7 linked regions of the Macaca fascicularis genome follow. The protein of the gene in region 4 purifies or fractionates together with the protein of the main gene of each other region. This does not show direct contact. Links are inferred from orthologs where the notes say so. Each region holds a gene or a part of one and is shown on either strand. Other genes may lie near its edges. The genes, in order: TULP4, ASB6, ASB1, RNF7, RAB40C, RAB40B and CUL1.

Region 1 (3,500 bases), on a different chromosome or scaffold from region 4:
AATCTGGGCCTTCTCCTAATGTCCCTGTTAATCAAATTAAATCTTGAGGTTTTAAAAAAAACTGTGTGGAAATTCCCTATAAATCTCTATCTTGATGATTAGATTAAAATTGAAAGCCAAGGCTCCAGCTGAAATGAAGGCTGTGTTTTATTCCTATATGAAACCATGCCACCCCCATCTCAACATTGCTTTCACACGGTTCCTGGGTTGCTCAAGCTTCCCTTGTTTGGCACTCTGGTTGTCACAACTATTTCCATTCAATCATCCTTCTGATTGCAAATGAGGTTTTTGAAAAATATGTTTTTATACCCTAGCTCTTTCCAAAAGAAATAATTTATGTCTAAAATGTTTTTGACATTTGAAATGTGTAGTTCTGTAGACAATCCACTGGCAAGGAGGCCAAGCTAGACCAGGAATCTGCTGTTACTGAATCCAGAACCGTGGCTAGTATGGTCGTACTGAGTACTAGGGAGAAATGAAGAGCTCCTCTCTGCCTCTGGACCCTGCCTACACAGATCTGTCTTCTGATGGCAGGGAAACTGCAGTGTGCTCTTCTTCCCGTGACTCTCTTGACACTTTGGCTCTACTCTGGTGTGTCTCTGTTAACTGTGCCCTTCTTTTTCCCCACCAGTAATCTATAAAACCAGCCTCCTGCATCTCCAACCGCGGCAAATGACCATTTATCTCCCAGAAGTTCGGAAAATTTCCATGGACTATATTAATTTACCTGTCTTCAACCCAAATGTTTTCAGTGAAGATGAAGATGATTTACCAGGTGTGTTCACATACATCAACTTGTTTGTCACGGTCCCTCTGTCAGTGGATCGTGCAAAGGGAACAGAGTGGCAAGTTGTTGAGGTTTCAGTCTGCTCCCTAGGTTCAGAAAAGGTATTCCTGCCTCAGTAAGGTTGGTAGATATGATGGCGTGTCCCAGGGGAAAAAGTCACAGGTTGGCACCAGTGTTGGCAGGAGCGGGGCTGCTGGAGCACAGATGGTTACAGTGGCAGTGGTGCCTTGTATTTGTGGAGCACAGCTCTACCATCTGGCTTTATCCTCACAGCTATCCTCTTAGTCATGTGTCTGGATTCAGGTAAGTTTGTGGGACTGATTGGAACTAAATAAAATCAGAACTGAGACCCAGTCTCATTGATCAAGGCCAGCCTTCATCCTTTCAATCCCTGCTGAGATACTGTCTCATTCCAGCATTCCCGTGGTGCCCACAGAGTCTAGTTTCTCAAATCTGCCCTGTGTCCAGGACACAAAAGCCTTTACCTGTAACCACATCTCCTCCACTGCAACCACATGTCTCCGTGCACAGGACCCTGGCCTGAGTTCAAGATAAAATCTGGTATACGATTTTTAAATTCCAGTTTTCAGATGGTAAATATCAATATATATAGCATTTTAAGTTAGTGTGTTTCCTGGCGGGGGGATTCTTAAAGGATCCTATGTTGATTAATGGATTACAGTGACTTCCAGTTAGTCTGGCCAGTTAGTGTGTGTAACTATTTCAGTTGCTAGAGGGTACTTGAAAATAACTTGCTTTTCTAAGTAAAAGACCACCTGAGATTTTATAGATACACAGACTCCTCTACTTCCAACTAAGCAGGGCTCTGGAAGTCTTCATTTTTTGAGCTAGAGGAACCTGGACATGGACCGTGACTTCTCCAGTATCTGGATGTCTGTGACCCGAGGGACTGGTTCTCACAGTGGACATAGAGGGCCACCCATTCCAGCTCGGGCCCTGCTCCTCAGTCGGGCTCTGAACTTGAGGGAATTGTTTACCTTCTCTCAGCCCAGTCTTTTTACCTGAAAAAAATGATTTCTACTGCATTTTCCAACAATAGCCATCTTGCTTCTCTGATGGTGACCTCTCCTGCATGGGTGAGCAAATCTCCTAGGCTTATGTGGTCCTAATAGGCCAAGCTTACAACCACATAAATACCTGTAGTTTGGTGAAGCCTCCCATACCTGAGCTTTCTAGTGCATCCCCTTTTACTTGAGAATCTTGGAATTAGAAGTATCTTTTAAACTTTCCCCTTAACGCTTTCCCTGTTCTCCCAAAATGCACGAATACAGCCCTCTCCAAGGTTCGGCTGTTGCTGCTGTTGTCCTTATTGTCTGTGGTTCCCAATGAGAGGAGGGAACATATTGTCTCAGGGATTACATTTAATGATGGTGACTCAGCGAAGAGGCTCTTCTTCCTTAAAGGGGAAGATGCCTGCCATCAGTGTTTCATACAGACAGGAGAGCTTCTCGAAGGGCATCTGAACAGGAATGACAGGAAACGTGAGACAGACCCAAATTTGTGCGGCCAGGGGAGAGTTATGTCTCACTAGGAGACCCCCAAGGAAGGGCCAGCTTAGCTTCTGATAAACTGGCTGGCTTGATTCTGTAGTTCTTTTGATGAAAAGTCAGCCAGTGTCACATTTCCTAATCATAGACTAGCTGCCACATAGTACTTACACCATGCCTCAGATTTCTGGATCAGTGGCAGTTTTCTCTAAGGGAAATGCCACAGGGTGGCACAGTGGGCCTAGAGGAGCCAGTTGCAGAGTGCTCAGTGTGCACTTTAAACAGGGCCGTGCAGACAGCAGCTCTGAGCACCTGTCTCTAGATCACTGTTCAAACGCGCGCTCTGTTAAACTCTCACTGTGTACAAATAGGATATATTTATAGTGTTTAATTCAGCGTGGTTCTACCTTACATACTGTTTGAAATGCTAAAAAGCAGATAAAGGTCAGGCATAATGGCTCACACCTGTAGTCCCAGCCCTTTGGGAGGCGAGGTGGGTGGATCACCGGAGGTCAGGAGTTGGGGACCAGCCTGGCCAACAAGGCAAAACCCCATCTCTACTAAAAATACAAAAATTAGCTGGGCGTGGTGGTGTACGTCTGTAGTCCCAACTTCTGGGGAGGCTGAGGCAGGAGAATCACTTGAACCCAGGAGGTGGAGGTTGCAGTGAGCCAAAATCATGCCACTGCATGTCTGGGCGACAGAGCAAGACTCTCTAAAAAAAAAAAAAAAATTAGGAAATGATCCATCATGATGTGATACTCAGATTCACTAGAAGATTCTTTTCATTGTTTTTTCTACTACGTTTTACATGGTTCTATTTACAGAAATCTAATATGCATACATTTCTTATACACATCTCTTGCGTGACACTTGCCACACTATCCATCCCGTAAGCATGAATAGACCTAATTCAGAGGCCTAGGCACTGCGAGTCCTCAGTGGAGGTTTTTCCTGTACCATTGCCCTCTTCCTGCATAAAAGGATGGGTGTTTTATGAATATCACCAGTAAAAAGCTTCTTCAGACATTTAATTATCTGTGATGGTGCCATTGAGGCACTGGTGCCAAGTTTAGAAGGTTCAAAAGTGAGCTAGTTGAAAAGTTATAACAGTACCCTTAGCTAACAGACAAGCAGCAGGCTGCCCTCAAGAACCCATCTCACTTGTGTGAGCAGGCCAGCTTTCCCCAAGCAGACACGTCTCT
Region 2 (4,244 bases), on a different chromosome or scaffold from region 4:
TAGAGACAGGGTTTCACAGTGTTAGCCAGGATGGTCTCGATCTCCTGACCTCGTGATCTACCCGCCTCGGCCTCCCAAAGTGCTGGGATTACAGGCGTGAGCCACCGCGCTCGGCCCGGAGTTTTATTCTTATCACCCAGGCTGGAGTGCAATGGTGCGATCTCCACTCACTGCAACCTCCGCCTCCTAGGTTCAAGCGATTCTCCTGCCTCAGCCTCCCAAGTAGCTGGGATTACAGGTGCCCGCCACCATGCCCGGCTAATTTTTGTATTTTTAGTAGAGACAGGGTTTCATCATACTGGCCAGGCTGGTCTGCAGCTTCGAACTCCTGACTTCAGGTGATCCGCCTGCCTCAGCCTCCCAAAGTGCTGGGGATTATACCCATTTTACAGATGAGGAAATCCAAGTTCAGAGCCAGGCAGTAGCACACTCCTGTGTTCCCAGCTTCTCAGGAGGCTGAGGTGGGAGGATCACCTGAGCCCAGGAGTTCGAAGCTGCGGTGAGTTGTGATCACTACACTCCAGCCTGGGAGACAGAGTGAGACCCTGTCTCTAAAAAATACACATGATTCGGGCCGGGCGGCTGGCCTGTAATCCTAGCACTTTGGGAGGCCGAGGTGGGCAGATCACGAGGTCAGGAGTTTGAGACCAGCCTGGCCAATATGGTGAAACTCTGTTTCTACTAAAAATACAAAAATTAGCCGGGCGTGGTGGCCGGCACCTGTAGTCCCAGCTACTCGGGAGGTTGAGGTAGGAGAATCACTTGAACCCAGGAGGCGGAGGTTGCAGTGAGCCAAGATCACGCCACTGCACTCCAGCCTGGGCGACAGAGCGAGACTACGTCTCGAAAAAAATAAAATTAAATTAAAAAATACACAAGATTCATTGAGTCCATCAAGGCAGAGGTGGAGAGAGCTGGCAGCTGTCCTGGCCAGGTGCTCCCTGGGACAGATAATAAGAAACTGAGGAGGGGACGTGCGAGGACCCTGGTCCTCATCATTCCAGTCAGCGGGCTGGGTGGTGACAGAGGTGGCCCAGCCCCTCTTCAGGGAAGGCGAGGGCCAGGCCGAGCCGGAAGGGGCAGTTGTCTGATGAGCTCAGCGCTCAGGGGCGCCCAGCGCAAGTGGGGCAGCGGCTGAGCTGGGGAGCACGACCGGCGGAACTCGGATGGCGCCCAGCGGTCGCGGGCAGGATCGCAGGGCGAAGCCGAGCCGGGCCCAGCCCTGGCAGGGAGGGGCAGGCCCGCCTGAGTCTCGGATCTGGCGGGCTCGATCCCCCACTCCCCCACTCCGCTGGGGCCGCCTACTGGACATCGCCCCAGTCGGCCTGGCAGTCGTGCCCTGGGACGCGCCGAGGTCCTCCGAGCCCGCAGGGGGCGCTGTCGCCATGCGGGCCACCCTCAGTCGGCGCGGGCAGGAAGTACGAGGGTCACTTCCGGCGGGGGCGCGGCTTGGGCTGAGGAGCGGACCCGGCCGGGCGCAAGGGCTGGTCCAAGGGAGCAGGTGGGTTCCGCGGCCGCCGGAGCGCTCCGGTCGGCGTCTGGGCATCTCGGCCTCGGCGGAAAGCGCGACCGCCCTGCTGCGCGGGGCCTGCGGCGATGCCGTTCCTGCACGGCTTCCGGAGGATCATCTTCGAGTACCAGCCGCTGGTGGATGCGATTCTGGGCTCCCTGGGGATCCAGGACCCCGAGCGGCAGGAGTCTCTGGACCGGTAAGTCGCCCCCTCCCGTGAGCTGGCCGAGGCCGCTCCGACCCTGCGGCGTCCCACTTTATCACCACAAGCCGGGCGGGGTGGATGCGTCCCCCTTGACAGAGGAAGGGACGGGCGGAAGCCGGGGTTGCGTGGCTCCGAGCTCGCGCTGCCCCGCGCGGATCGCACTCCCGCCCCTTGCATGGCGGAGGCGAAGGGCAGGGAGGGCCCGAGGGCGGAGGCTCGCGGGGTGTCGCAGGGCCTGCGCCTCGGCCCCACCCTGTCGCCTGCCTGTGCTGTGCCACCCCCCGGCGTGGCAGGGGAGCAGGGTGGAATCCGTGAGGCCTCAGATGTTACCCCAGAGCAGTGTGAAGGTGGGCTTTTGTAGCAGAGTTTGCGTTTTTATAGACAAGAGCTGGTCTGTCGTGGACCTGCAGGAAAGGTGTCGGGAGCGAATCCGCATTCACTGCCCATGGTACTAGGCGCCTGGGGTCCATCACTGGCTCAGCAAAATCCCCGCCTTGGCGCGTGTGCTCCAGAGGAGAGACTGACAAGTAATTGTGCGGCGGCACGCGAGGTGGAAGGGAGGAGAGAGCACAGGGAAGGGGCTCAGGTGTTTGCGGGGGTTGTCAGTTGGAATTTACAACGCGTGGTGATGAGTCGTCTCCCCATCCAGGGACTCGGGTGGAAACGTAGGCTTTCTTCATCATTTCAGCTAAAGGCCTCCATGTGAGAGGAGCGGGGAGGCTGTGTTGCTGTCCTGGCTGCAGGGGTTGCGGGGGCTGGGGTCCTACAGCTTTGAGGGTGAAGGGCTTTCTGAGGAAGGAGCATCAAAGTCGGGCTTGGGCTCTTGGCCTCCAGGGTTCCCTTCAGTCCCAGCAGCCCAGGTGTGTGAGGCTTTGTACCCAAGTCTGCGACCAAACTCTGGGCAACGCGGGAGGAGAGCGCAGACAGACCCAGCCCATTCTCCGCAAATCCGAGTCTGCTCCCGTCTTAAGAGATGCAGCCTGGCCCTCTCTCTAGTTCAGAGGTTCTGCCAAGCCTCTGTGACCCACAGAGCCAGGGCCCTGCTTGCGGATGATTCTAGCAGGACACTAAGGCCCACCAACCCACAGGCTGCCCGATCAGCCGGTCCCACAGCTGTGCCTACCCTCAGCCTCTCTTCTGCCCCAGGCCCAGTTATGTCGCCAGCGAGGAGAACCGAATCCTTGTTCTCACTGAGCTGCTGGAGAGGAAAGCCCACTCTCCTTTTTACCAGGAAGGTGTGAGCAACGCCCTGCTCAAGATGGCTGAGCTGGGGCTGACCCAGGCGGCCGACGTTCTCTTGCGGCATGGGGCCAATCTCAACTTTGAAGGTCAGCGAGAGCCCCGGGGGTGGGCAGGCGACTTAAACGTGGCTCTGCGCCGGGTGGGCGTCCATGTCCCCAGCCTTGGCTTTTACCATCCTCTGAGGAGTGACTTCCCCCCGCTTTATTTCCTGGGTGGCTGTGACTAAGGAATCTCCCATTGGGTGGCCTCCCAAATCCTGCGGGTTTTCACATGGCTCTCCCCACCTCTGTTCCAAGGGCGGGCGAGTGTTGCTGCTTCTACCATGTGATTGATTAGCAAACTTTCCCCAGCTCCCAGAGTAATCCCCACTTCCATTAATGCGAAAATGCAGCTACTGGCATTGTGCCCAGAGCTAAGGGAAGGTAATTTTCTGCCACTTACTCTGAGCCAATTTGTGTTTTTTTCCTCATGCCATAGGGAGAGGGGAAAACAGGCCGCATTAGGCATAAATCACCACAGAACACGCTGGCTTCCAGCTTCTGAGTGCGAGGGATGGAGATGGAGCCATGCTCCTTTCTCTCTGTTTTTCACCCCAGGGAGGGCAGGGTTAGTAGGGGGACAGGCAGGGCTGCCTTGTGACCTAATGGGGGCCTGAGACAGCCAGGCATGTCTCCTTTCCCCATCCAAAGACAGGCTTGGAGGCTGCTGGGCTCCTGGAGCCCAAGGAGCTGAGACGGGAGGGCCAGTTCTGAAGCCAGTGACTTGGAGACCAGCTTGGAGAACGTGGCTGTTACCACCAGGCCTACAGAGCGGAGCAGCCATGGAGGTGCTGTGTAGTGCGGCCTCCCAGCCATTCTGAGAGTGCGCGCCCCATTTTATGGTCCCTTCTTACAGAAGAGGAAATTAAAGCCCCAACAGCTTCAGTAGTGTGCCCACTAGAACACCCCGAGGGCCCTCTAGTATCTGGTGAGGACAGCTCTGTCCTAACCCTTGATGGTGACAGGAGGCTGGGCCTCTGCTTCTGGACACTTTAGGTGGGAGTTTGGGGCTGGGCTCTGGGTCCAGGGGCCCCATGAGAATACGGATAGGCAGGACCCACACGAGCTGCATCTGTGCCTTCAGATCCAGTCACCTACTACACGGCCTTGCACATCGCCGTCCTGCGGAACCAGCCGGACATGGTGGAGCTGCTGGTGCATCACGGCGCTGACATTAATCGGAGGGACCGGGTAAGTGCCAGGTCCAGCTTGTTTTGAAGCAGCGTTGGGCAGGGGCCTGAGCAGCTTC
Region 3 (4,151 bases), on a different chromosome or scaffold from region 4:
AAGGCTGAGTACCAGTCCACTGTATGGATGGACGGCATTTCCTTTCTAAGGCTGAGTACCAGTCCACTGTATGGATGGACGACGGCATTTCCTCTCTAAGGCTTAGTACCAGTCCACTGTATGGATGGACGGCATTAACTTTCTAAGGCTGAGTACCAGTCCACTGTATGGATGGACGGCATTTCGTTTATCCATTCATCCATCCAACAACACGTGAGTCGGTTTCAGGCTTCAGAGTTGCTGAAGCTCCAAGAGTTTGAGATGTGCGGCTGTGGTGGAGCCAGGGGCTGGGCACACTCCTGGCTCCTGGCCTAGCAGCGTCATCATCGGAGTCACCTGTCCCTCATGCCAGTGGTGCTTTCTGCTGTTAACAAGTCCAAACACCACTGTAGTAAGTACCCCTACTCCTGCCTCCACCCCCCACAGGGCCTGCCATGTCTGCCCCCAGTGGGCCCACCCGGTCTGGGCCACCCAGGGCCAGCTTCAGCGGGGGCACTTGCAGGGCTGCCCCTGCGGCTTCCCTTACTCCCGTCTGGAATGTTGTACACATGGATGGGCCAGCAGCTCACGCCCACGACTGCTGGGGTCTCCGGACTCCCTCATCAGCCTCCTGCTGTGCTGTGTACAAATCCTCCTCCTGCATGAGGCCCCGCTAACACAGCAGGGGAGAATGGGAGGAGCCAAGGGAATCCACGCTGAAGGACCAACACCAATACTCACGGTGGGACGACGCTGCGATATTTGAGGTTGGGAGTGTGCAAGAAATATTACTTGTTCACGAATGCATTCATTTATTCAATGCACTTCGTGTCGGCCACCGGCTGTCATCAGCTACGGACCTGATTGTGGGGCTTCATGGAAGGGATTTGGGGGAGCATTCATCTAAAACCACAGCACGCCATGACGCTCAGCCCTGCGGTGGTCCCTCACCAGTCCCCGCGCCTCCCAATCCACCCTCCCGGGGGCTGCTCGCGGCTAGGGCCCACCTGCGGGGACCCAGCCAGCCCGGCCGAGGCCCGGGTCCCGCCAGCCACGGCCCTCGGGGCCCCGCCCACATCTGGAGAAGCCACGCCCCGTCCGTGGGGTGGGGACTGCCCGCCCGACCGAAATTCCCAGGCTGCTTCCCCAGGCAACGCGCTTTCTGACTCCTTGGCTTCTTATGCGGGGAAACCACAGCGCGGCTGGCATCCTGAGAGTCGATTACTGGCGAAGTCCTAGCCGGACATCAAGACCAGCCAGCACCCGGCTCCGCAGCGAGGCCGGAAGCGGAGGCGCGCCCTCTGCGCGGCCCCGGAAACCAGTGAGGCCGGCGCGCGCCCGCCGGAAGCCGCGACCCCGACGTGGCCCCCTCGCTCTCGGCGCCGGAAGTGGTCGCGGGCCGCTCTCCTTCCTGCCCGAGGGGCGCGCGCGGGCCCGGGGCGGCCGCGGAGGCCGAAGCACCCATGGCGGAGGGCGGCAGCCCAGACGGGCGGGCAGGGCCGGGCTCCGCAGGTAACGTGCGCGCGGCCGCTGGGCCGCGGGGCTTGTGGGGATGGCGGAGGGCTGGCTCCGGCGTCCCTGCCGAGGCCCTGCGTCCTGGTCCCGTCCTGGCCGGGTCCACGGGGGAGCCAGGGAGCCGCGCCCCGCAGGCCGGGGGTGGGGGTCAGCGCGGCTCGCAGTGCTGGGCGACCCCACCACGGACGCGCTGCCCGCTCCTCGGCCTCGAGTGCCGTCCCCGCGCTAGATTTTCGTTCCGGTGGAACTTCCCTCCGGTTAGCCGATATGGATTTGACATGACCCAACCGCAAAAGTAGGACGTGGGCCACCTTCCAGCTCTGAGCGCACGGATCAGGAAAGCCAGCCAGAGGGTAGCCGTAGGGAGGGCAGGCACCTTTTCACCATTCTGCCGCCCATGGCGTGTCTGGTGGCACAGCGGGGCAGCCTTCCCACCTCCCACAGGCACAGACCAGGGACGACGGGGACGCCGTCTCCAGCGAGCTCGTCAGTGACACAGCATGTCCAGGGGCCTTTGGCCCACCAGCAAAGGAGGCAGCCAGAAAGGCCCACACCCACCTTCCGAAATAACTGTCCTACTTAGAGTCTCCACCTTGAAGTGTCCCTACCGTGCAGATGTGAAGGAAGCGGTCAGGACAGGTTCCCCTTTCCCAGTGATGTGGTGGGAGTTCCTTCTTGCCGGATTTCTGAGCTTGCCATTAGCGCCAATAGTTTCATGTGCTCTGGGCTTTCTTTACATGCCTATATTTGTCTTTGGAGGGGTCCCTCTCCTTCTTAGTAATAAACCAATGAATTTCTTAAAAATCTCAAAAGATTGACTTGGAGACTGGTGCAGACAGGCTTTTCCATCCATCCTTCCCTCCCCACCTCCTTCCAATCATTTAACAGACTTGTATTGAAGACCTGCTGTTGGCTAGACCCAGCAGAGAATACTGCAGTGACCAGAACAAGCCAGACAAAGCATCTACCATCCTGGGCTTTGGTTGGCATTGACTTTGACTTCAGAGACAGCCAGGACCTTAGGGTCTAGGATGTCATCTCTTGTGAGAGTGAAAGACGGAATGATAGGTGTTTGTGGGAAAAAGAGGACTAACAGCTACTTCCCAGTATAGAGAGGGGTCCTGGGGAAGAAACACGGGCTTTGTCAGCTGCACAGGACTCCTTTTTTTTGAGTCGGAGTTTCGCTCTTGTTGCCCAGGCTGGAGTGCAGTGGCCTGATCTCGGCTCACTGCAGCCTCCGCCTCCCGGGTTCAAGCGATTGAACTTGAACTGCCTCAGCCTCCCTAGTAGCTGGGATTACAGATGCTGGCCATCATGCCCGGCTAATTTTTGTATTTTAGTAGAGACAGGGTTTCACCATGTTGGCCAGGCTGATCTCGAACTCTAGACCTCAGGTGATCCTCCCGCCTCTGCCTCCCAAAGTGCTGGGATTATAGGCGGCAGCCACCACACTCGGCTGAGGGCTCCTTTTTATGTCCTCATGTACTGCTGTTTTGTTATTCAGTGTGTTTCAGGGCTGGGGTAGAGGGGCAACAGATTTTCAGTTGAAGCTTAAGTGCTCTCTGGGGCAGTTAAGTTGTCCTTGGAGTAGCTGATCAGCAAAACACAAACTTGAAGTTGCTTTTAAATCTGGAGCTGGGGAAAGATTGAGTCTGCTTTGAGCAGGGCCGGGAATGGATAGCACAGAGGCCAGGAGAGGGGGCCCAGAAGAGGGCTCAACAAAAGTCCTGTGGCCGCCATTTACCTGTTGGTTGTTACCCTACACCTGAATCTTTCCCACTCCGACTTTGGACTTTTTCACCCTATAGTAACTGCAACTGTGTAGTAATTACAGGGGAGGATAATTACTGAAGGAAGGTTGGGATGGTGGCCTAAAAAGCTGTTCATGCCTGCTTGTTGATCTGCGGCTGGTCTGGTTGTGGGATCAGCATGAGCAACTCAATGGACTCTCAAACCCCGGAGACCATGGACACTTACTGATCACCCCCATTGTACCTGTGGTTGAGTCTCATGTACAGTAGTACTCAAAAGAGATTTAATTTTAATACAAAAACAATGTCAGCATCTGGAAAGAGCCCCCTTATGGAGGGGGTGCTTTATACCTGCCTGTCTGGTCTCACACTAGGACAGCATGGCAGAGCAGGGACTTGAATCCAAGCAGTCTGAGTTTTTGCTCTTTACTTACACACGAATCTGTGTAACTATTTTTACAAAACTCTTAAATCTTCAGGAGTTTATTTTGGGTTATGATGTGAGTTGAATAACTCAATTATTTCCTAATAAGTATCTAATTGTACAGACGCCATTTGTTGAATACTCTTCCATTCTCGCTGATTGTGATGCCAGTTTATCACATTCAGGCATACCTTGGAGATAGTGCGTGTTCAGTTCCAGAACACTGTAATAAAGTGAACACTGCAATAAACTAAGTCACATGAAATTTTTGGTTTCCCAGTGCATATATAAGTTACGTTTACATGATGATACCATGGTCTTTTAAGAGTGTAATAGGCAGGGCACGGTGGCTCACGCTGTAATCCCAGCACTTTGGGAGGCCGAGGTGGGCGGATCACAAGGTCAGGAGATTGAGACCATCCTGGCTAACATGGTGAAACTGCGTCTCTACTAAAAATACACACACAAAAAATTACCCGGGT
Region 4 (4,261 bases):
CACAGCCCTTAACACACCACTCAACAAATACACATTTCCATCTAACCGAATGTGACCCTGCGTCCATATTTATGTTTCTATAGATTAATGCATTCTTGTTTCCCCTGCCAGGTTCCATTGGCCTGGTTACCTTTTGCCCAGGTATCAGGAGATGAGGGGATGGCGAGAGGCTCAGAATCCAAACTTGACAGAGTAGGTGTCCACCACTAGGTGACGGTGGGATCAGGCATCTCCTTAGGCTGTCTGTGCTTCTGCTTTCTTTTCAGTGGAGATGCCTGCTTTCTTGGAAACACATGTGATGGTGGGCTAGCAGTAGAAGCACTACTGTAATAACAATGTGATCTTTGTCATTTCACTTCTTCGGACCTCATTAGTCCTACATATAAAAAGAGGAAGTTAAACTAGCTCAAATGTACTGAGCAGAAGGAATGGAGACTCTGCAGATGAGGAAGCAGGGCCTGAAAAATACGTGTGGGTTGTGTCGCCACACACCGGGACTCCTGGGATCCTGACCTCTTTTAGGGGTCAAAAGAGGGCAAACTAGTTGCCTAACAATATTTAGAGCTATTTCTCTCTTTTCACTCTCATTCTACGAGTGTACACGGGAGTTTCTAGAAATTACATGGTATGTGAAGTTATCCCTCTAATGATAACCTCTAATGAGGTTATTACTGTGATTTTTAATGAATACATTTAAAAATATGTTTTAATTTCTTAAAAAGAAACATTAATCTCTATGTACGTGTGTATACATATACAGGAAATGTATGAATATTCATTATACATGAATGTACATATATTCATTGTATATATGTATATATATTCATACATATGTGTGTGTGTATATATATATTTATACATTTCCTACATAAATAAAAGCTCTTTAAGGGACTAATAATTTTTAAGTGAAAAGGAGTCCTGAGACCAAAAAGTCTGAGAATCACTGAGCCAGATTTCTAGATCTTTAAGATCATTAATTCACTCAAGAAATAATTGTGCCTCTTGTGGCCAGGCATTTTGTAGATACCGAGGACAATGTGGTGATAAGAACATGTTCCCTGCTCTGATAGAGTTTTACACTTGGGAGGGAAGAGACAAACAAGTAAATTAACAAGATTATTTCTGAGAGCAGTAGTTTTAATGAAGCCATAAAGCAGGACACACATTCCAGCACAATCTGTGCGCCTGCTCAGACGTAACACCCCGCAGCGCCGCAGGCGGATTCGGCAGCGTAGCCCCGAGCAGCCCCAAGCCCGCTCGGTCGCCCCAGGAGGGCGGGGGCGGGGCCTGCCTGCCCCCTCGCCGCTGGCGTCCGGTGACGTCACTGGGCCGCGCCAGCCAATCGTGGGTGGCCGGGGTCTGGGCACCACGGTGGCCTGCGGCCTGCGGGCGGCGCTGTGGCCCGTCGGGCGGCCCGGCAGAGCCGCCCTAGCCTCCCGCCTACCCCAAGCCAACGTCTCCGCCGTCGGCTCCGCGGCGCCGCCATGGCCGACGTGGAAGACGGAGAGGAAACCTGCGCCCTGGCGTCTCACTCCGGGAGCTCAGGCTCCAAGTCGGGAGGCGACAAGATGTTCTCCCTCAAGAAGTGGAACGCGGTGGCCATGTGGAGCTGGGACGTTGAGTGCGATACGTGCGCCATCTGCAGGGTCCAGGTGATGGGTAAGCGCTGCACGCAAGGCCGGGGCCGCGCTGCGGCCTCCGGGAGCCGACTTCGGGATTGGGACGGGACGGGCGCCCGCCAGAAGCCTTGGAAAGTCCCCTGCCTTGGGGAGTGGGTGGAGGTCGCCCTGCCCGGGCGCCGGAGGAACGCGGAGCCACGATCCTGTTGCGGCTCCTGAGGGCTGAGGGGTTGTGCAACAGGCGCCCGGCGCCGGGTGGTTGGTGTTCTAGGGAGAGAAATGGGCAATAAACGGAGGTAAACAAGGTAATTTCAGGTAGTGATGGGTGTGACCAGGAAAATAAAACCGGGTGATTGTTGGGAACTAGCAGGAAACACTTCGGTTTGTGTGGCCAGCCCCTGTTCTAAAAGCTCATCGCAAGGTGGACAGAGTAAAGGCCGTGATTCAGCAGTGAACTTTAATAGTCTTGGTCACCATCAAAGTGATGCTCCGGAGTCATCTTCCACAAAACGACACCCTTAGTTCTCCTCGAGGTACACAGGGAAGTGTTCACAGCCATTGCATTTCCGGATTAGCTTACCGCCGCTCTTCGAATGGCTTTTAAATCTGGATTGATCTAAGACGGGTCAGATAGCACTAGCGTGGCTTGAAGGGGACAGTGTGGTTCAAGAATATCTAAGTTTCATGGAAGCCGAAGAATTGTAAGCCCTTTTTTCAGAAATGTAGAACTTCACCTCCATTACACCCCCCTCTCCATATCGGATGTCATTTCCTGGAGAAGATACTGCCCTGCTCTGAGTCATGCCTTTGTGGAGAACCCTCTTACAAATATGTCCTCTTTCTGTGATATTTGGAGTTAAAATATTAGACCAAGCAAAATGTTTCAGAACAGCTTAATCTTGTTATATTTTATATGGTTCTAAGATCTCAGACCACTTTGAAAAGCAAGTGCTGTTTAAATGCAAGTTGTATTTTCAGATAGGGCATTTAAAATTACTGTGAGAGCATCTTCAGTGGAGTTCTTTATTGAGGGTAGTTAAAGAAAACAGACATTTCTGTAGGTTGAAAACTGACTTGTCTTGAAAAATGAGAGAATTGGAGAACATAAAGAGAATTGCTGTCCTTGAGGGGGGATGAGACTTTAAACCTACCAGAATCAAGAGATTTCTCAATTTATGCTCTTTTGTCTTTTATTCTAAGGGCTTGTTTCAAAGAGGATTTACAACAATTGGATTCAGATATTTTTACCTTTTACTTTTGAAAGACCTTGTTATTAGACATGACCCACTTATTTTATATGGATCACTTGAGCCCAAGAGTTTGAGACCTGCCTAGGCAACATCGCAAGACCCTATCTCTACAATTAAAAATTAAAATAAAGTGACCAGGCATGGTGGCCTCCAGCTACTCAGGAGGCTGAGGTGGGAGGATCCCTTGAGCCCAGGAGGTCGAGGCTACAGTGAGCCTTTTTCCTGCCACTGCCACGATACTCTAGCTTGGGTGACAGAATGAGACCCTGTCTCAAAAACAAACAAACAAAACATATTAGGCTTTAAAAGTATCTAGTTTATTTGCCAGCAGTACAGCTGCCCCTACCCTCACTTAGGAATCATAGTTTCCAGTTTGGGAAGCATTTTTTAACTGATCCAAGAGACTTTTTTTTTTTTTTTTTGCAATACAAGTTTTGCTAAACATTTTATCTCCTAAATAAATTTCCTTTAGTTTAAAGGAAACTAAACTTTCACTTAGTTCCTTTTCAGTTTAAAAATAATGTTCCCAAAGGGTATTTTCAAAAGATTTCTCTCCCAAAAAGCTATTTCCTCCCCGAAGGAAAAACATTTAAGCAGTAAGTGGAAATGTATAACCTGAAATAATGATTGAAACTTTGCAACAAATAAACTTTACTGAGATATTTTAATGTAGGTCAAAGTATAGGCTATAAATGACACATTTCATCATAAACTTTCTAATTATAGCAAGTATTCTGCTACTACAGGATCAGTCTTGCATATTTGCAAACAGCTGTACTTTGGGTTCAGGAAAGTATTCTAGGCTAGACCTTTGTATTTTGTTTATGAGGTGTTAAAACCCACTTAGAGGTCAGGTGACAGCAGAAGGAAATTTTTTTTTCCAGACTTCCTAGTCTTTACCCTAGCACCCTTCTAAAAGGTGTTATTGTACTCCTTAGAAATGTGCTGTTTTAGATTCTAGGAAGATCATTAAAGCAAATTTTTATCTTTTATCTGCAACTTTAGGAATTTGTGTAGATTTGGGTCAGTTTTGATAATCTACATTAGAGCTATAAGCGTAATTTAGAGATTCCTAGATTCAGCAACAAGAACCCACTTTGTTCCCTTTCCTTAGTATTTGGAATTTATCTCACACTTGTGATTTATTATACTTTCTGCTCCCAAGATTTGCCTGTCAGCCCATTCTGATATGGGTAACACTCTCATCTTCGTTTCCACTATCCTCCCTTCATTCAGAAAAGAGTGATGATTGCATAGTGAGCAAAGTGCTGATGAAAAGCGTTGAATAGGTTTGCTAGTAGAGCCAGTTATAATAGCCAGGGTAACCCTTCATGACTGTATCACCTTAGATATTTCACGTAACTTTTGGGAGCCTTATTTTCCTAATTTGTA
Region 5 (4,005 bases), on a different chromosome or scaffold from region 4:
CTGCACTGCAGCCTGGACGACAGAGGGGGGCCCTGTTTCAAAAACGAAAAAACTGGCCGGGCGCGGTGGCTCACGCCTGTAATCCCAGCACTTTGGGAGGCCGAGGCGGGCGGATCATGAGGTCAGGAGATGGAGACCATCCTGGCTAACAAGGTGAAACCCCATCTCTACTAAAAAATACAAAAAACTAGCCGGGCGCGGTTGCGGGCGCCTGTAGTCTCAGCTACTCGGGAGGCTGAGGCAGGAGAATGGCGTGAACCCGGGAGGCGGAGCTTGCAGTGAGCGGAGATCGCGCCACCGCACTCCAGCCTGGGCGACAGAGCGAGACTCCATCCCAAAAAAAAAAAAGAAAAAACTGGTGTGTCCATGTGGTCGCCGCTTAGTCAAGGCCGTGTCTTCAGCTCTAGGGGGACGGGAGGTCACTGGAAGTGTGGGGCCGCCCGTCCTGGCGTCCCTCTGTGTGAACAGCACCTGCTCCCGGAGGCACAACCCGGGTCGGGGTCCCTCGGGAGGAGGGTTCTTGCCGGGCTCTGCTCCTCGCCGGCCGGGCAGAAGAGACAGGCTCCGCACCCGGTCTGGAGAGGGCTGCGCTGGGTCGACGCTGACGTTACTGCTTTTACTTACTACTGTAACAGCGTTACTGAGCGCAGAGCACGTATCACAAAGCTCACCCGTTGCGAGAGTCACTGACGTTTAGTAACTTCACCGAGAACGGAAGGACCATCCCCACGACTGTAGGACCTTTTCGTCACCCCAGAAAGAACCACGTGCCCACTCAACCCCTGACCCCACGCCGGGGCCCGCGAACGCGGCAGCTTCGCTCGCCCACGCACCTGCGACTGCCGGGCCCTGCTGGGACCAGCGCTCGGCGGCGCCCCCGGGAAGAGTGCGGTCCGGGCCCTGGGTCCCCGTCCAGGAGGCGCCGCTGCAGCGGTGAGCACGTCAGGCCGGGTCTTGAGCTCGCGCAGGCCGCGCTCCCCGCGTCCCGAGCTGCGGCGGCCGCGTCCCCGGGCGGAAGGCTCAAGTTCGGTGACGCCGCGGGGTCCCAGAACCTCAGCGCCTTCGCAGACTCAGTGGTGACCCAAGGGTCCGCCCCGCCGCCGCCGGACGGAAGTCCCGCCCCCGCCCCGTAAAGGAAGTTCCGCCCCGCCGAGCGCCGATTGGCCGCACGGCCTTGGGGAGGACACGCCCAGGACCACCCCACCGCCTCCGCCGAGGTTTCTGCGGTAGCAGGCGGCGCAGCCTGCGAGGGGCTTACGTTTCCCAGACTCAGCTGCCTCGCCTCGGCCCGAGCGCGCCTGCATCCTGCCGCCTGTCGGCGCGTTGAAGGGGCTGCTACAACCTGGACTTCCGAGCCCCTGATTGGCGAGCGTGCAGGAAAGGGGCGGGGTTAGCAGAGCCGTGATGGACGTGCAAGCGGCCCAATGGCGCCGGCCGGCGAGGGGGCGGGCGAGGACAACAGCGTTGGGGACCGGGGGCGGGGCGGCCGGTGGCTCTGGGATTTCTCTGGGAGGCAGCCGCAGGGAAGGGAATGATCCTGGTGAACTTGTAATCGAATCAATGGTTACGGGAAAGCAGGAGGCGAGTGGCCAATGGCGACGGCGATGAGGCCGGCGTCCGCTGTCTCCGCAACGCCGTGTGGGAAAGGGAGGGGCGTTCATGACAGACGGGAGGACAGGCCAATGGCTGAGGGAAAGAGAACGGCGGGCGACCTATGGTGACGACGGGAAGGCAGGGCGGGGCGTGGAAGAGGCGGTGCGACAGGAGGCCTGGCGGCGCCGTGTAGGACGCGGTAAGGGCGGGGAAACCGTGACGGACGGGAGGATGGGCCAATGGGTTTGGGAGGGCGGGCGAAGGGTGGCCAATGGCGGCGGCGCGGCCGGGGGCGAGGCAGCGCGGCGGCGCTGGCGGTGCGGGAAGCGGCGGGGCGGCGGCGAGGCTGAGGTGCGCCCGGGCGACGGGCGGGGCGGGGCCGGCGCGGGGCTTCGGGCGCGCCCACTCGGCCGCCCTGGGGCAGACGCAACGGGCGCAGGTGCGGGGCGCGGGCTCTGTCACGCCGCGGCCTCACCCGGCGGTGCCTCGGCAGGCGGCCGGCGCGGGGCGCGGGCTGCGCGGCCATGGGCTCGCAGGGCAGCCCGGTGAAGAGCTACGACTACCTGCTCAAGTTCCTGCTGGTGGGCGACAGCGACGTGGGCAAGGGCGAGATCCTGGAGAGCCTGCAGGACGGCGCGGCCGAGTCCCCGTACGCCTACAGTAACGGTAAGGCCCAGCCCGCGGCGCGCGCTGCTTACGCGGGGCCCGAACCCGGCGAGCTGGGCGCGGAGCTCGCCCTCGGCCCGACCCTTCCAAGCGCCGCCGAACGTGCCCAGGAACGCCTTTGCCTGGCTTCCAGACCCGGTGGCTCGGCGGCTTCGGGGTTCCCGGGCTCCAGTCCCGAGGTGACGCCGGGGAGCAGGAGGACGGACCAGAGGGGCGCGCCCAGCGGGGACGGTGCCATGGACCCGGGGTCTGGGGGACGGTGTCACAGGTCCAGGATCTCAGGGGAAGGTGTCATGGATCCTGGAGAAGGTGTCATGGGCCTGGGATCATCTGGGGTCCGAAGGAAGGTGTCGTGGGCCTGAGGGAAGGTGTCATGAGTGCAGGATCTGGGGTCTGAGAGAAGGTGTCATGGGTCCAGGATCTGGGGTCTGGGGAAAGGTGTCACGGGCCCAGTAGAAGGCGTCATGGGCCAAAGGGAAGGTGTGTTGGGTCTAGGATCATCTGGGGTCCGAGGGAAGGTGTAATAGATCTGGGGGAAGGCATCATGGGTCTAAGGGAAGGTGTCATGGGTCTTGGATTATCTGGAGTCCGAGGGAAGGTGTCAGGGACCCAGGTCTGGTGGCAGGTGCTGGTGGACTCTTCTTGGGACCCTGTCTCGAGCATGCACAGATGACAGGTCGTTATAGGCAGACTGTTCCCCTGAGGTATTTACTTACAGCTGAGGGAGTCAACACTTTGTGCTGGAAGAAAATACCTCTGTAATGAGTTACTGAGTATTTTTCTTTTTTTATTTTTTATTTTTATTTTTTGAGATGGAGTCTCACTCTGTCGCCAGATTGGAGTGCAATGGCACAATCTCGGCTCACTGCAATCTCCACCTCCTGGGTTCAAGCGATTCCCCTGCCTCAGCCTCCTGAGTAGCTGGGACTGCAGGTGCGCGCCACCACGCCCGGCTAATTTTTTGTGTGTATTTTAGTAGAGACGGGGTTTCAGCATGTTGGCCAGGATGGTCTTGATCTCCTGATCTCATGATCTGCCCGCCTCGGCCTCCCAAAGTGCCGGGATTACAGACGTGAGCCACCGCGCCCGGCCTGAACGTTTGTTTTTAACTTCCAGTTGCATGGCTAAAATACACAAGATAGAGCGCGTCTCTGGGGCTTGCCTGCCTGAGCGTGCCTCTTAATTTAGGTATTCAACATAGCAAAGTGGTTAACAGGGTCAGTGAGACGGCGTGGTCCTCATCACCCCTCATGGGGGCCTGGACTGAATGGGATGTTTCCCCAGAAGACCTGGGTGGCCCCGGATGAACTGGGAGCAGTCAGCATCCAGCCTCCCCAGAGTCCATCTGCGCTTCAGGGAATGCCATCTACACTGGCCAACTTACCTCTCCTGGTCCCTGCCCTCTCCCCTTGCTTTGTTTCTTGGCTCTTGTCTGTCCTGTCTGGCTGCCCTGAGCGTCTGCTGTTTGCTGAGTCGCCTGCCCTTGGCTGCTGAGAGTGTGGGCACAGCATCCCCCACTTTCTCACTCAGGGGTTGGCAGAGTGTGGGGTTACCTGGACTGACGCTGAGCGCGCTTCCTTCTGGCACGGCTTCAGCAGTGGGCAGCAGCACCAGGGGCTCTGGAAGCTTGTGCTCTTGGCCTCAGCCTGGAGGAGGGGTTGAAAAGGGCCAGGGAGGAAGAGCTCTGGGTCCATTTTTAGGTGGGGGGAAGTGTAAGGCCCACCAGGGGCATTGGGGGCTCACACG
Region 6 (4,194 bases), on a different chromosome or scaffold from region 4:
AAGACTCTGTCTCAAAAAAAAAAAAAAAAAAAAAAGGTGACTGCATTAGTAACTAAAGCAACTAATCAATCAATGAAGAAGAACAGGTGATGCAAACTAAATTGGCATTCCGAAGTAAACATTTTCCAGGTCCAAATGAGTACAAATGACAAATATAATAATCTTGACTTCAGTCTCTTTTGTAATTCTTCTTCTGCTCCTTCTTCTGTTCCTCCCCCCAAAAAACTTCTGATGGGGTCTAGAGCAGTTCCCTACACAACGCAGGGTGGAGGGGATGAAGTGGGGGAGGCATTATCCTTCTTGTTGGACGGAGTTCGCCGCTTGCCTGCTGCCTGAATTTTGCACCAAATAAACCAGTGTGCACCTGGTGAGACCCTCAGAGCGAAGGGCAGGCCTCGCCCTGGCACCCCTTGCTCTTGAGAGCAGAAGAGAAGCCTAAAGGCTGGAGGGGTCCCACCCCATCTTCTCCAGCACACACACAAACACATGCATGGATGCACAAACAAGCAAGTGCACACACACATAGGAGCACATGCATAGACAGAAGCAGCACACGCAGACACACACATGCAAAGATGCCTGCAAAGGCACACATGCACATACATGTGCAGACCTGCAGAGGCACACGTGCACACGCAGACACATACATGTGCAGACACCTGCAGAGGCACACATGCACACGCAGATATGCACACACACGAACACATGCGTACGTACACAGGCGCATGTGCACACACAGGCATTCAGGCACGCCGCGTAAATGGGGCAAGGACGAGGCCCTGGATGAACTGTGGGGAGAGACCGCGAGCCTGGATTCTACGGCGACAGGGACTCTTGCGGCGAGGCGGCCTGCGGGGGGCCTTCCGGCCGCGTCCGCGAACTGGACCGACCCCCTAAGCCCCACCCGGCCCGGCACCGGAGGTCTCCCTGGTGGGCAGGTGGGGAGGCCCCACGCCGGGACCCAGCACGGCCCCACGCCCCGCCCGACCCGGGGCGTGCAGACCCGACGGCGTGGGAGCGAGTTCGCGGCGCTGACAGGCGCACGCGAGAGTGTAAACACTCGGCCCCACCCCCTACTCGCCCCCGCCCCGCCTCGCCATTGGCTGCGGGAGCAGAGTCCCCGCCTCCTGTTTGTTCTGGCTCCGCCCCTGCTCCGTCTCCGGGCCTCCATTGGCTGCGGCGACAGCGTCCTTCCAGGAGGGGCGGTTGGGCTTCAGCCCGGAGGCGGCGACGAGAGTAAGATGGACGGACAACCACACCAATGAAAATGCGCAGCCGCCCTAGCAACTGCGGTCCACCAATGGCGGGGCCGGGCGGGGCTGCGCGCTGTCAGCGCTGGGCGGCGGGGCGGGGCCGGCTGCAAGCAAGGACTCGGGGCCCGCGCGGCGCCTCTCGGGGCCCGGCCGCCGCCTCTGCGCGCAGCCCCGCAGGCCGGGCATGGGTTGGGGCGCCGGGCCGGCACGATGAGCGCGCTGGGCAGCCCGGTCCGGGCCTACGACTTCCTGCTCAAGTTCCTGCTGGTGGGCGACAGCGACGTGGGCAAGGGCGAGATCCTGGCGAGCCTGCAGGACGGCGCGGCCGAGTCCCCGTACGGCCACCCGGCGGGTGAGCGCGGGCGGAGGGCGCGCCTGGGTGCGGGCGTGGGTCCGGGGAGGGGCGCGGGGCTGGAAGGGGGTGCGGGTGGGAGTCCGGGTTCGGAGGCACGAGGCCGGGGAGGGGTCGGGAAGAGGCGGGGGCGCGGGCCCGGGGAGGGTGGGAGTCCGGGTCCGGGGGCGCGCGGCTGAGGAGGAGCGCGGTTCGCCTTTCTCCGCCCGGCCTGGCCCTCGTGCGGCGGCGTCCCTGTTACACCCGGCACCGTCCCTGTTACACCCGGCACCCCCGTTCCGCTCGAGGCCCCCGCGGCGCAGTCTCCATCCTTCTCCGCAGTCTGCGCGCAGCGGGAGCCCGCGGCTGGGCCGGTCGCTGTGCCCCTCCCGACCTGGGGCCGCCTCCGCGGGGACCCGGGGAGGACTCGGGTCCGCACGTGCGCGTTCGGCCGCGGGGGCGGGAGGGGCGGGAGGGGACGCGAGCTCCGGGGCGCCTGGGGCGGAGCGCGGCGAGCAGGCTCCCAGGTGTTGGGTCTGCGCGTGGATCGGAGGGGAGGGGAGACCAGGGTCCGGTCCCGAGGCCAGGGGTCCCGCGTGTCCGGGGGAGAGGAAGGAGCGCAGGTGACTCGCGTGCGGAAGAGGGGACCCCCCACGACAGCGGCCGGAGAGGGGGTTCCAGGGCGAGGGGAGGCCGCAGCGCACAGAGCTCCCAGGCAGACAGCCCGGGGATCCCCGAAGTTTGAGGCTTGAAAGCCGGCGCCCGGCGAGGGGGTGGACGGCTCCGGGGAAAGAAAGGCGGAGGCAGGAACCAGGAGAAGGGGGAATGCGCAGAGGCGGACACCTCGGCCGGGAGTGAGGAGCAGGCGGGGCCTTCACCCACCCGCGTCCCTGGAACCGCGCGGACGAGGCCGACCCTGCGGCTGTGGACGGAGCCCCGCTGTGCCCACCTGCCTGCCACGCCTCGGGGCTGAACCCACACTTCCAACAGAGACCCCCCCCCTGGGTCCTAGGCGGAGGAGGGGAGCCGAGGCTTGGAGATGGAGTCTTGGTGGGAAGGCCCTGTCAGCTCTGGGGCCTGGGAAGGGTCCTGCCAGAGACGAGCTTTGCCAGAGCGGGTGGGAGGAAGCGGGATCTGAGGCTGCAGAGTAGAGGGTGCAGGCCGTCTCCTACGGGCAGCTCCAGGCAGGCTGCATGAGGACCAAGGGAGGGGAGCGTGGCACGGCTGGAGGGGGTGGCCTGAGACTGTGGAACGTGGGGTGAGACTCAGGTGCCCGGCCACGCCTCAGCTTAGGGAAGGGGGTGAGGAGTTTGGGGGAGCAGCTGGGATGGGCTTGGGCTCACGACCAGCACCCAGAGGCTTCCTTAAACTGCAGCACGCCGGGGAGTCTCTCGCAGCCGACAGGTGCAGAGTGTGCTCCGTGGGGCAGGAGGGGAGTCTGCGTCTTTACCTGTCCCCACCCCACTCCCCGCTCAGCGGCAGGTCTCTAGGACCGTGGTGTCCAGTCACATGCCATGAGCCACGTGTGGCTGTGGAAGTGTCATTATAAGGAAACAAAACAAAAAGCTTCCATTAGTCACATTTCTAGATAGTTCGGATGTCGCTGTGGCAAAGTCTGGGGGCCAGCGCTGCCCTGGAGATTGAGCGCCTGGAGGACGGGGCTTTGTCTGCACGGTGCCCTCGGGGTCTGGGCTCAGTGAGGGATGAACCCTACCAGAGCTAGAGGAATAGAGCACCCGACAACGTGTAGCCCAGACGAATGTGGCCCTGTAAGAGCTGTGCGTGTTTTGGGGGAGCAGACGGTTGACGGTGTTGAGTTTGATTGAAGGTGAGTGCCATGGGGCATGCGTGAGGAGAGCCACGCACAGAATGTTTGTGAAACTTCCTTCTGGTTGGTTTGAACGACGGCTCAGGGATGCTTCTGCTGCATGACTTTTGGTTGCTACATGCTGAACTGAAGACGACCCAAAACAACGGACCAATGCTTTCTCCTAAATGCTTTCCCTTGACAGGGAGAGAGGGTTTAGGCTAAAAATACAACCTCCCACCGGGCCGGGTGCGGTGGCTCACACCTGTAATCCCAGCACTTTGGGAGGCCAAGGCGGGCGGATCACCTGAGGTCAGGAGTTTGAGACCAGCCTGACCAACATGGAGAAACCCCCGTCTATACTAAAAATACAAAATTAGCCGAGCATGGTGTCACATGCCTGTAATCCCAGCTACTCGGGAGGCTGAGGCAGGAGAATCGCTTGAACCTAGGAGGCAGAAGTTGCAGTGAGCCGAGATCGCACCATTGCACTCCAGCCTGGGCAACAGAGCGAAACTCTATCTAAAAAAAAAAAAAAAAAAGACGCCTCCCACCAAAAGCTTTGTTGTCAACCTGGCCTGAGCTGCTGTAGAAAAAACTGCTATCGTGGGTGTACCCTTGCAGGTTTTTTATTTACCAAACATTTGTTTTAGGGTTAAGAAAAGTTACTCTGAAAAATAGTAAGAAGTTGAGATCATTATGATTTGTTTTTAATTTTTTCAGAGACAGGGTCTTCTCTGCTGCCTGGGCTGAAGGCAGTGGTGAGGATTGCAGATCACTGCAGCCTTGACCTCCCTGGGATC
Region 7 (4,200 bases), on a different chromosome or scaffold from region 4:
GGGACATCAGTTTTGCTGAGCTGGGGGAGAAAGATGGAGGAAGGATGTTTTAAAGTAGAAAACAGCAGCAGGTGGCCTTGACCTGTGAGGTAGGAGACAAGGTTATCTGCGCAAAGTAAATGCAATCTGGATGTTAAGTGGACATAAAAGTCGATGGAATAAATTTGCTGCTAAAAATGATCATGTAGGCAGGTGGAGAGTAAAGAATAGAAAGGAGTTAAGAACCAGGAATGGAGGCAGTGAGAAGAGGGAGGGTGGTGTGGATGGACCAAATACTGCTATTAAGGAAAAATAGAGGGTGGAGGAAACAAACAATAAAGGGAAGGTTGACCCACTCAGCCCTTCTATTCAGCTGGAGGAAGTCACAGAAAAGGAGGCCATATTGAATGGTAAGATTGGAGAAGACTGGTTAGGGAATAGGAAGCTTAAGTTGTCTAAAAAACGCAGTTTCCAGTAAAAGGAAGAAATTGGGACTTTTTTTTTTTTTTAAAAACCCACATATGTACACTGGAAAACATGGGCCACAGGGATAAACCTTCCATTTTTACTTCCAACTTTACCATGTGCTCACAAAAAAAAAAAAAAGCGTTAAATACATCTAAGTTTTGACGAGGTTATTCAAAAGTGTAGGATGTAAACCAAGAATTGTTCACACCCCAACATCCCGCACAAATTAAGGGATTACATACCTGAGTGACAAGTACATACAAATGCATTACTTCTAGAGAGACTGAGATGTGGATAAAAGACCACATTTCAATAGAGGGGATCACATACACCAGTGGGATGTTTCTTCAGAGACAAACCCACGTTACGCAGGAAACAGTGTGGACTCTGGCGACGGCCCTCTGCTCTGGCTGAGGATTTCTGTCCCAGAGTGGTACAGGAATCTGTGTAGTGTTTTCGTTTGGAGAAAACAGGAAGTTACACTCATTACATCTTTTGCCCAGATGATAGAGTTCGAAATCCCCCCGGGGTTGTTCATGGAATGAGCCGCTCTGTTATGCTGTGAGCCGTGGTATTAATAAGCCACCCCTCACTAGATGTGGGGGTTCCACAACGCTTCCTCCACCCGTCACCACAGCAGCGGATAGGCTTTAGGTTGAATATTCCAAATAGCCAATTATGACAGTTAATTTCAAATGAGATGACTTCGAACTACACGTGAAAACAATACTACTTTATATCACGACTCATGCCATCCGTGTATGTAATCAAAGCCTTCTAAGTCTTGATTTGTCCTTACAAAGACGAAGGATAGAGTGAATGTCAAAATTTGCCAAACAGGAGTTAGTGAAAGTCTGAAAGGGAAAGCCTAGTTAGGTTTAATCTTATAAGTGATTTTTAAAAAGAGACACGCAGATAAGCTCGAGCTTTCTGGAGCCGATTCCTAAGGCCTTGCAGGTGTTAAGGGGATCGAGAATTGGCTGCAGGTTCCTCGGAAGTCTGCGCCGATTCGGAGGGCCACCTGGCCACCTCTGACTTTCTGATCTAGGGTGCATCCCCCAGTCCCGGTCGACAAAGGTGGGGAGTCAGGTTCGAGGCCAGCTGGGGGGGGCGGTGTGCGCACAGGGGAGGAGCGGGGGGACTGGGACCCCCTCTCCTTCGGGGTGCTTCAGGCCGTTTCTCCAGAGGCTGGTGGTGTCCCCGACCCAAGCAGCTCAGCCCCGCTCGCGAGGTCCGAAGTGGCGGGAAGGGGTCCTCCGCGGCGGCCCCAAGGCGAGGGAGGCTGTAAAACCTGGCGGAGAATCCGGTGCCCCGGGTCGGGGATGGCTCGGGTGTCCGGGGCAGGGGCCGCGGGCTCGCAGGTAGAAGCTCCCCACGCTAGCGGGGGCCTCGGCCGCGGAAGGGGCGCCCCCGGGGCCGCCGGCATCGGCGGGCGGGCGGGAGCTTTCCGGGCCCCTCCCGCGCCTCGGGCTGGCGGGGCGATGGCGACGACGGTTTCTCGGCTCCCCCGCCCCGGACGCCGATGGCGGTGCGTTCCGGCCCTCCCCCAACAGCTTCTCCCCCGCGGTCGCCGGAGCCGGTGAGGCCGAAGAGGGCGGGGAGCCGCGGAGGGAAGGCGAGAGGGCGGAGGTTGCGTGGTGCAGGCGGCGGCGGCGGGAGGAGGAGGGCCGGGCGGGCAGGGGAGGAGGAGGAGGCGGGCGCCGTGTCGCACGCAGCTCCAGGCGGGGCAGCCCCGGTGGCTGAGGGACGCAGCCAGACCTTGGCGGGACGGGGCTTTCGCCGGGGCCCAGGCCCAGCGACCAGGCGGAGGCGTCGCGGGAGCCTTTGGGGCACCACAGGGATGCGGGTGAGTGTCGGCAGCCGCCGGGGCCGAGAAGAGGTGGCGGCGGCGGCGCAGGCCCGGCCCCGAGCCGCGGTGTCGCAGTGACTTGGGCCGCGGCGGCCGAGCCCAGGCGCCTGGCGAGGCCTGAGCAGCCGAAACGCGGCCGGGCGGAATGGCGGCCGGGCCGGGGGACTCGTGGGCAGAGGACGCCGAGGGCGGCAGGAGAGCGAGCGGGGCCGGGCCCTGAGTCACCCCGGACGGGCCGGGGCGGCCAGGCCTGGACTACGCACTGGGAAAAAGCCCGATTCATCGCGCCTGGAGGCGGCGGCCTGGTGGCGCCGGCACCTTTCCCCGCCGCGACCGGGCTGGGCCCTCGGAAGCTGGGCCGACGTGTGGCACGGGGCAGCTCGGACGTCCGCGCCTCGCCTCGTGAGGCGACCTCCGCGGGACGCCGGGACCCGTGCCCTTGCCCCCTCGCGCCCACGCTTCTCCCCAGCGCTGCTTTCCGGCCGACGCGTGCTCCCCTGTGAGCCCTGGGCTCGCGCGCAGGAGCAGCCGCCGAGCCGGGCTCTCTCGCTTTCCGGTTCCCTGCCGCGGCTCTCGGGTTCCCTGCCTGCATTGTTGCGAACGTGCAGGGCGCTATTATTGGGTAACAGTCGCCCTTTTGCCCCGTTCTCCTGGGGCTATGGGCCGGGGCATGCGCGCAGGGATGCGAGCCCGGCGGCCGAACCGGACAGAGCCCCCCGGCGCCCGCCTAGCGCTCGCGAGTCGGGCCGGGCCCTGCGCCGCGGCGTCGGCGCGCCCCCGGCCGCAACGGGAGCGCGCGCCCTGACCCTGAGGGTAAACGTGTGCCCGCCAGGCTGCTGGGACTTGGGGTCCTCAGACTCGGGGGTCGTGCGCTTTTTTCCCCCCAAGATCTGAAAGACCTCTGTTTCTGCCGCCCGTGCAATATTGTGTAGAGCAGACATAAGATAATTAAGAGAGAGAGGAATGCTTGTAGACATTCCTTGAAATGAATCCCCAAAGTTAAGGTTTTCTCTCTGCCTAGCTTTGCCAAAAAGAGGATTCTCTTTTCCGATTGGGTCACTCTTGGTTGCTTCTGGTTCGTAGTAGGGGTTAGTGGTAAGTGCGCAAATACTGAATTGCAGTCTACTTAAATATTTATTTGCCCAGTGTAATTGCTCTTTCTTGTAGTAGCATTAAAATCGTCAAAAGTTCTGAGTGGAGTAAACGATCACACTTTTTGGAATGCACTTAACGAAGCGGCAGAAGAGGAACTAGATTCCTTTTTTACTTCAAGCCTTGAGCTTCTAGGACCTAAGCATATCTTAACGCCTCGCAGAAGTGTGTGCAGTTTTAGGTTGAACACTTCATTTCATGGTGCACACGAAAATGTACCCGATTTTCTGAAATCTTGTAGAGTGTATTATGTAGTAAAATATGTAATGATGTTTAAAATGTAAAACCAGTTATTGTGTTTGGAAAAAATATTTGGAGGTGAGATTTTTCTTTGTTTAAAGAAGGTTTTTGGATATTGAAAAATGTTTTACTTGAAGGTTCTATTTGTTGTTTTCTATGGTGAGTCGAAATAGTTGCGCTGCATTTCAAATTCCAAAGCATGCAAACGTAAGACTGGCTCGCTTTAACTCTATTATGCCCATTTTTGGAGGTTTCAGGAGAGTGTTCCTTAAGCTTGAGAGGGATGGCTGAATTGCTTTCTAAATACGTTAAACTTCTTTTCTCATTGACTTATCTTTTAAAAACGGTTTTGTCAAAAAAACAAACTAACTTTAGATATGCTAGGTTTTTCACCAATTTATGAAAGCCTCCCTCCCTGAGAGCCACATGCTCAGGTCCTTATAGGCAGCCCCACCCCCCACTCCTAATGTGTGTACCACATCAGAAGACAGACACGCATGCCTGAGCTGATT

What was found.
Region 1: the proteins of RNF7 (region 4) and TULP4 purify together in Homo sapiens (co-immunoprecipitation; 3 studies listed by BioGRID and IntAct, with this or other methods). This does not show direct contact. The link is inferred for Macaca fascicularis from reciprocal best matches to the Homo sapiens genes RNF7 and TULP4.
Region 2: the proteins of RNF7 (region 4) and ASB6 purify together in Homo sapiens (co-immunoprecipitation; 4 studies listed by BioGRID and IntAct, counting the BioPlex papers as one, with this or other methods). This does not show direct contact. The link is inferred for Macaca fascicularis from reciprocal best matches to the Homo sapiens genes RNF7 and ASB6.
Region 3: the proteins of RNF7 (region 4) and ASB1 purify together in Homo sapiens (co-immunoprecipitation; 3 studies listed by BioGRID and IntAct, with this or other methods). This does not show direct contact. The link is inferred for Macaca fascicularis from reciprocal best matches to the Homo sapiens genes RNF7 and ASB1.
Region 5: the proteins of RNF7 (region 4) and RAB40C purify together in Homo sapiens (co-immunoprecipitation; 4 studies listed by BioGRID and IntAct, with this or other methods). This does not show direct contact. The link is inferred for Macaca fascicularis from reciprocal best matches to the Homo sapiens genes RNF7 and RAB40C.
Region 6: the proteins of RNF7 (region 4) and RAB40B purify together in Homo sapiens (affinity purification with mass spectrometry; 3 studies listed by BioGRID and IntAct, with this or other methods). This does not show direct contact. The link is inferred for Macaca fascicularis from reciprocal best matches to the Homo sapiens genes RNF7 and RAB40B.
Region 7: the proteins of RNF7 (region 4) and CUL1 purify together in Homo sapiens (affinity purification with western blotting; 5 studies listed by BioGRID). This does not show direct contact. The link is inferred for Macaca fascicularis from reciprocal best matches to the Homo sapiens genes RNF7 and CUL1.

Annotation. Positions count from the first base shown.
Region 1 is NC_088378.1:66,836,665-66,840,164, forward strand, and holds part of TULP4 (tubby-related protein 4), read left to right. Parts: intron 1-631; coding exon 632-775; intron 776-3,500. UniProt on the Homo sapiens protein: May be a substrate-recognition component of a SCF-like ECS (Elongin-Cullin-SOCS-box protein) E3 ubiquitin ligase complex which mediates the ubiquitination and subsequent proteasomal degradation of target proteins.
Region 2 is NC_088389.1:14,276,215-14,280,458, forward strand, and holds the start of ASB6 (ankyrin repeat and SOCS box protein 6), read left to right. Parts: upstream 1-1,444; 5' UTR 1,445-1,596; coding exon 1,597-1,709; intron 1,710-2,861; coding exon 2,862-3,043; intron 3,044-4,079; coding exon 4,080-4,186; intron 4,187-4,244. UniProt on the Homo sapiens protein: Probable substrate-recognition component of a SCF-like ECS (Elongin-Cullin-SOCS-box protein) E3 ubiquitin-protein ligase complex which mediates the ubiquitination and subsequent proteasomal degradation of target proteins.
Region 3 is NC_088386.1:134,345,128-134,349,278, forward strand, and holds the start of ASB1 (ankyrin repeat and SOCS box protein 1), read left to right. Parts: upstream 1-1,351; 5' UTR 1,352-1,442; coding exon 1,443-1,491; intron 1,492-4,151. UniProt on the Homo sapiens protein: Probable substrate-recognition component of a SCF-like ECS (Elongin-Cullin-SOCS-box protein) E3 ligase complex which mediates the ubiquitination and subsequent proteasomal degradation of target proteins.
Region 4 is NC_088376.1:44,567,004-44,571,264, forward strand, and holds the start of RNF7 (RING-box protein 2), read left to right. Parts: upstream 1-1,461; 5' UTR 1,462-1,484; coding exon 1,485-1,659; intron 1,660-4,261. UniProt on the Homo sapiens protein: Catalytic component of multiple cullin-5-RING E3 ubiquitin-protein ligase complexes (ECS complexes), which mediate the ubiquitination and subsequent proteasomal degradation of target proteins.
Region 5 is NC_088394.1:1,340,285-1,344,289, forward strand, and holds the start of RAB40C (ras-related protein Rab-40C), read left to right. Parts: upstream 1-1,205; 5' UTR 1,206-1,792; intron 1,793-1,914; exon of another isoform or gene 1,915-1,944; intron 1,945-2,086; 5' UTR 2,087-2,117; coding exon 2,118-2,259; intron 2,260-4,005. UniProt on the Homo sapiens protein: RAB40C small GTPase acts as substrate-recognition component of the ECS(RAB40C) E3 ubiquitin ligase complex which mediates the ubiquitination and subsequent proteasomal degradation of target proteins.
Region 6 is NC_088390.1:89,129,968-89,134,161, reverse strand, and holds the start of RAB40B (ras-related protein Rab-40B), read left to right. Parts: upstream 1-1,394; 5' UTR 1,395-1,463; coding exon 1,464-1,605; intron 1,606-4,194. UniProt on the Homo sapiens protein: RAB40B small GTPase acts as substrate-recognition components of the ECS(RAB40B) E3 ubiquitin ligase complex which mediates the ubiquitination of target proteins.
Region 7 is NC_088377.1:190,350,529-190,354,728, forward strand, and holds the start of CUL1 (cullin-1), read left to right. Parts: upstream 1-1,400; 5' UTR 1,401-1,524; exon of another isoform or gene 1,525-1,661; coding exon of another isoform or gene 1,662-2,888; exon of another isoform or gene 2,889-3,391; intron 3,392-4,200. Other genes in the region: uncharacterized protein, read right to left, coding at 1,662-2,888. UniProt on the Homo sapiens protein: Core component of multiple cullin-RING-based SCF (SKP1-CUL1-F-box protein) E3 ubiquitin-protein ligase complexes, which mediate the ubiquitination of proteins involved in cell cycle progression, signal transduction and transcription.